2 linked regions of the Saccharomyces cerevisiae S288C genome follow. Each later gene encodes a partner of the first gene's protein in a complex. Each region holds a gene or a part of one and is shown on either strand. Other genes may lie near its edges. The genes, in order: IMP2 and SOM1.

The links.
Region 2: IMP2 (region 1) and SOM1 share a complex: the UniProt entries of both Saccharomyces cerevisiae proteins name them as parts of the mitochondrial inner membrane peptidase (IMP) complex.

What each region holds. Positions count from the first base shown.
Region 1 is NC_001145.3:339,168-342,511, forward strand, and holds IMP2 (endopeptidase catalytic subunit), read left to right. Parts: upstream 1-1,974; coding exon 1,975-2,508; downstream 2,509-3,344. Other genes in the region: ARP9 (Arp9p), read left to right, coding at 1-110; RCH1 (Rch1p), read right to left, coding at 251-1,555; putative tyrosine protein phosphatase MIH1, read right to left, coding at 2,689-3,344. UniProt on the Saccharomyces cerevisiae protein: Catalytic component of the mitochondrial inner membrane peptidase (IMP) complex. IMP catalyzes the removal of signal peptides required for the targeting of proteins from the mitochondrial matrix, across the inner membrane, into the inter-membrane space.
Region 2 is NC_001137.3:41,747-44,695, reverse strand, and holds SOM1 (Som1p), read left to right. Parts: upstream 1-2,071; coding exon 2,072-2,296; downstream 2,297-2,949. Other genes in the region: phosphoacetylglucosamine mutase PCM1, read right to left, coding at 1-1,444; HHY1 (Hhy1p), read right to left, coding at 1,736-2,044; PRB1 (proteinase B), read left to right, coding at 2,743-2,949. UniProt on the Saccharomyces cerevisiae protein: Non-catalytic component of the mitochondrial inner membrane peptidase (IMP) complex. IMP catalyzes the removal of signal peptides required for the targeting of proteins from the mitochondrial matrix, across the inner membrane, into the inter-membrane space.

The sequences.
Region 1 (3,344 bases):
CCCAAATTGTTTCTAAGCAAATTTTCACTCATCCTAAAGATACATTTTATATCACAAGAGAAAAGTATAATATGAAAGGACCGGCTGCTCTTTGGGACGTGCAATTTTAAGAATACGTGATAGATGCTTCGTGTATCCAAAATCCGTGTGAATATGTGCTGTTTAGTTTTTTCCATCCAATGAGGATGGGAAATATATACATAAACGTTATGTAATATATAGAATTCATGCAAAATTAACAAGGGAAATATCACCTTGGTTGTGTATATGGGACGTTGTTCGACAGAACGGATTGATTTTCACCAGTTCCAATTGATATGATCTTTTCCAAATCAACTTCCTCATTCTCATTTGCACAAGATGACTCGCTTCCGTCTGCTTGAGCGTCCTTTTGTATCCATCTTTTGAACAAGCTTACAAAGAAATTTGCCGTCATGACTTGCTCAACTTGATATAAAACCAAGGGAACCAACAACTTACCCAGGTGTTCTTTTTTATCGCCGTATTGTGAAGTAATTAGTGATACACCCAGTGCTGCAGTTTTAGCCGGGCCACAAAACATAATGCAAATCGCATCTTCCTTTGAATAATAAAAAGGCCTAAAGATATTATACGAATAGCGGTACAATCTTGTAGATTTGCCCTCTATTGGTTCATGAGGGAAAAGCTTGAGGATGAACCATGGCCTTGCACATAAGTATGACAGACCCGTGAAGAATATATAAATTCCCAAATTAAAAAAGCAGAGAAATATGATGCAAACATGAGAAACGCTAGTAAACGCATCCTGATAAAAGGCAGTTGAGAATGAACTAAACATAATCAATAAAAGCATGTAAGATCCAATTTTAATATGGTATTTTTTCAAAAAGCCCAGGTAATAAGCAGTACCCTTCGGAAAGCAATTTTGAATAACCTGACCCACAAACAAGGGTACGAATACAGAGAGACCAACCTGTTTCATAACACGGCCATAAAGCGCACCAATGCCATTTCCAGTGGCAGGGTTGCCGTATGCAAATGGTGCGCGGTTAGTAAACATTTGAACCAATGCAGGTGTAATAAACGCACCCAACAAATTTCCAATGAATACTTCACAAACGCACAAAAGGCTATTTCCACCTGCATTCGTAGTCATGATAACGTTTGAAGCCACGGTTGTTGGACAAGTGGCAGTCAAAATTAGACCGATAAGTACCCAGTCATCTATTTTCGGATCATTAGCAGCCTTTACCGCGCAACAAAATCCATATACTATGGACGAGGTAATAAGGAAACTCAGAACCAGAATAGTGGCATGAGCTCTCCAATTTAACATATTTGCCATTAGTGACCTTGATTTCATTCCCAGGCCACTTTGGAGAAAAATCCAGGCGACGCAGCCGTACCCAATACTATATTGGCCTTTAATTAACCCTCCGTCTCTTGCAAAATTCGGAGCAAATCTTGCAATAACGATTAAAATAGCCAAACAGATGAAAAACCACTGGGATTTCAGAAATTCTGTTACTGAATGTGCCCAAATTTTTCGTATTAGAGAGTACTGAGTCTTCATTTGGCACTAAGTAGGTGTATTAAATGTGTGTCTTCCTTCTTTTTGCAAGTTATGTCAGAGTTGGGATATATCGTAGAAAAGGGTGCGAAGGTGATTCAGGTAGCATAGACGGTTTCAGGCAATAAAAAGCTATAAATCTCTCTTTATATAATTGAAGGTTAAAATTTGCTAGATTTTAAAGTGGTTCGGTTCTTTTTTATGCTTTCTTAGCTTCTGGCTGTTCGTTGGAGCTCAGACTTACGGGTAGACCAATGTCATCGAAATACTGTGGAAGATCAAGCTCGGAAGGAGAGCGAGGCTAAGTTCCGAGCTACTGAAAAAAATGGAAAAAACAAGTGCCTTAATTGAATGACTAGATGGGTGCTTGTTAACGAAGGCGTGCTGCTATTCATGAAGCTGTTGCATTGTACTGTACAGTAATGTTTCGAGCCGGATCATCAAAAAGATTCTTACGAAACACACTAATAGCAATTTCATGGGTTCCGGTACTTCTAACAATCAATAATAATGTGGTCCATATTGCGCAAGTTAAAGGTACCTCTATGCAGCCTACGCTGAACCCGCAAACGGAAACGCTGGCAACAGATTGGGTGCTGCTTTGGAAGTTTGGAGTCAAGAACCCAAGTAATTTATCTAGAGATGACATTATCCTTTTCAAAGCTCCTACAAACCCTCGGAAAGTTTACTGCAAAAGGGTTAAAGGTTTACCGTTTGATACCATTGACACGAAGTTTCCATACCCTAAACCTCAAGTGAACCTGCCCAGGGGACACATATGGGTCGAAGGGGACAATTATTTTCATTCGATTGATAGCAATACTTTTGGCCCCATTTCCAGTGGGTTGGTCATAGGGAAAGCTATAACAATTGTTTGGCCACCCTCCAGGTGGGGAACGGATCTCAAACTGAGTACCGGTAGAGACTGCATTAGCAAAAGAGCCATTTTAGAATGAAAATCAGCTTATTTTTATGAATTTAGAAGTGACCCCGGTATTCAAATGCAAATTTTTTATATTATGTGATTAATCTAATGCAATAAATATAGATGATTGTGATTTATGTATTGATGTTGTTGCCGTTCGGTTCCTGAATATATACTTCTTTTTTTCATAATACTTCATGCACATGTAGTATCATTTTTTATCTTCAGTCTCTAGAGAAGGGAATAACGATCTTCTTGCGGGCCTGGGTAAATCTTCTCGGTCGGAACCAACGAAAGTAAAATCTCCGTCTTGCTCTTCATCTCCACTTACTTGCTGATGATTGCCTCTCTCATCTTCGAAACTAAAATATGATGGGGTATCCAGTCCGTCCATTAGTAGCATATGTGAAGTGCTTAGGTTACTGTTACTACTCATAGACGACTTACTTAAGATGGGGAAGAAATTTTCGTCGCCTGTACTCTCACTTGAATTTAATGATGAACCACTAGAGACTCTTCTGTGGTTTAATGACAGCTTCGGAGGCGGCTCAAACCTGAACGATAGTGCAGAAGATGCCATTGTTGTTGAAGATTGATGGCTATCTCTATAAAAGAAGTTAGGATTTGAAGGGGAAGCTAGTTTTCTAAAAGAATTATTTTTAGTAGCAAATCTTTTAGATTCTCTCCTAAACTTATCCATTTCTTGTTCACAATTCAGCAAATTTTCTTGTGAGTTCATTCCCACGTACTGACGTGGATAACATAGTTCAGGAAAATTGTCAAAAACAGCTTTGTATCCGCCATCCAATATCAATATGTCGGGATAGAATAATTTGGGATAATGATCCTGATTTATTATACGATCAC
Region 2 (2,949 bases), on another chromosome or scaffold:
CGATGCACTTAACCAGCTTGTTGGGCAAATCAGTATACTCTTCATCCCAATCCATTGGCGACATTTTCAAAATCGCCAAAGTAGCAAGGACAGCAAGCATGTCTGAAATAGCATCTCCCACGGTCTGATTAATCAATTCAGAGAAACACTTCAAAGTTCTCAAAGCTAACGTATCACCATTTAACTTGGACTTGGATAATTCAGATTTGATAGTTCGATGAAATTTTTCGCTGAATATAATCGTACCATGTCCATTTGCTTCGAAATAAATGCCAATATCGTACTGAGTGGCAGCTTCATGATGCAAGTGTTTAACACCTGTCTTAGTGCAAGACACGGGACAGTGCAACGTATTTTTTATGTAAGCGGTGGAACTGCCGTTTGCATAGGCAGTTTGCACAACACCAATCTTCAAAGAATGTTCTAGGTGTGCCAATTCTAGTTGTTTAGACAAGAACTTTGCAAACAAAGTGGAAATTTTGTCACCATCCAACAAATGAAATTTTGATCCTGAGTCGACATAGTAGAACACAACCCTGTCTGCGTCACCATCAAAGGAGCAATATAGCGAATCAAACGAGGATGGAGAAAGACCCTTGGGTAATCTCTGGTTAGTCTTCACATAATCCGCACCGCATTCAAAATTCAACAGTTCTGGAACATCGGACCTGTCGTTGATTACCTCAACTTGCTCCGCTGGCACGTCCCAATCTTCGGAGGCCAGTAGTTTTTTCAACTGTGGACCACCGATACCATTGGCTGTGTCTATGAACAATTTTGGGACAGACAGCCTCTTCTCCAGCTGATACGTGGCGAAGAGCTCGTTGAAGGCTCCTATAAAGAACGAATAGTAGTCCTGTTCTGTGGCAACTGGCGCTGTGTCTCCTTCCAGTTTCCGCCTGTTGGACAAATCAGTAATGTAATGCAATTGAGGCGTAGTGACACAGCCTAGGTCCAAAACTTGCGCGTGGAAGACGCTGGCCATGGAGGAAGTCAAGCAGCGCAGCAAGTATGGACTACTTTCCCTAGAGTCTCTCCCAACCACGATGTGAGGCACGACGGTTGTATTCAAATCAATCTTTTCGTGTTCAATCAGCTTGGCCAACTCAACACGAAATTCTTCAAAATTAGTGGCAAAAGAGGCCGCATTGGCCAACTGCATGGCATATGGCTCCCATGTGGCCAAAAGCATCGATCCGTCTGGTTCCACGATCTTGACCCCGTTGTCCTGGTATGGGTTGTGCGACGCCGTGATCATCACCCCCACATACTGACCCTGAAGCTTCAGCGACCTGAGAACCGCCAGTATACCAGTACTGAACATCACCGTATCCAAATTCTTGGCCAGCGTTCTGAATCCGGCCGTACCGTAACTGAACTGCACATTCTTTGTGCGGCACGTGTCATCGTAGAGTTTGCACAATTGCTCGTAATCAACCTTCATCGTCTCTAAGCTTACTGCTGACCTTTGCCTTGGTCCTTGTACTTGTCTCGATTGCTGAAACCATTAACGGTTTTTTGTTCTTACTTAATCTTTTTTTTCCCGACGACGCAAAATGTCAGAAAAGATATAAATAGAGCAACGTTTCCTGCTACATGAAACACGCTGGCATATAGAAGAACTTCAACGAGCGAGGCTCTCTGAACAATCTGCTAATCGTGCAAGTAAGGGTTCTCGTGACAGTTCACCGTGTATAAACAGATAAACAGATAAACAGTCAGATATGCTTAATTTTTAACTGTAGGCTGTGCCGACATGCCATTTTATGCGGCTCACTTCTAACAAAAGTGACCATGACGCACAAGCAAGCAAACAGCCAAGTAAGGAAGCAGACAGCTTCACAGCACACACACACCGTTGTGTACGAAAATCCTCTGCAGAAGAGTGTATATGCCACTCATCCACACTTCCGCAGCGCAGTACGTAATGCGGTATCGTGAAAGCGAAAAAAAAACTAACAGTAGATAAGACAGATAGACAGATAGAGATGGACGAGAAACAGGGGGGGAGAAAAGGGGAAAAGAGAAGGAAAGAAAGACTCATCTATCGCAGATAAGACAATCAACCCTCATGGCGCCTCCAACCACCATCCGCACTAGGGACCAAGCGCTCGCACCGTTAGCAACGCTTGACTCACAAACCAACTGCCGGCTGAAAGAGCTTGTGCAATGGGAGTGCCAATTCAAAGGAGCCGAATACGTCTGCTCGCCTTTTAAGAGGCTTTTTGAACACTGCATTGCACCCGACAAATCAGCCACTAACTACGAGGTCACGGACACATATACCAATAGTTAAAAATTACATATACTCTATATAGCACAGTAGTGTGATAAATAAAAAATTTTGCCAAGACTTTTTTAAACTGCACCCGACAGATCAGGTCTGTGCCTACTATGCACTTATGCCCGGGGTCCCGGGAGGAGAAAAAACGAGGGCTGGGAAATGTCCGTGGACTTTAAACGCTCCGGGTTAGCAGAGTAGCAGGGCTTTCGGCTTTGGAAATTTAGGTGACTTGTTGAAAAAGCAAAATTTGGGCTCAGTAATGCCACTGCAGTGGCTTATCACGCCAGGACTGCGGGAGTGGCGGGGGCAAACACACCCGCGATAAAGAGCGCGATGAATATAAAAGGGGGCCAATGTTACGTCCCGTTATATTGGAGTTCTTCCCATACAAACTTAAGAGTCCAATTAGCTTCATCGCCAATAAAAAAACAAACTAAACCTAATTCTAACAAGCAAAGATGAAGTTAGAAAATACTCTATTTACACTCGGTGCCCTAGGGAGCATCTCTGCTGCTTTGGTCATCCCAAATCTTGAAAATGCCGCCGACCACCACGAACTGATTAACAAGGAAGATCACCACGAGAGACCCAGAAAAGTGGAATTCACTAAGGACGATGATGAGGAGCCATCTGACTCTGAAGATAAAGAACATGGAAAGTTCCAT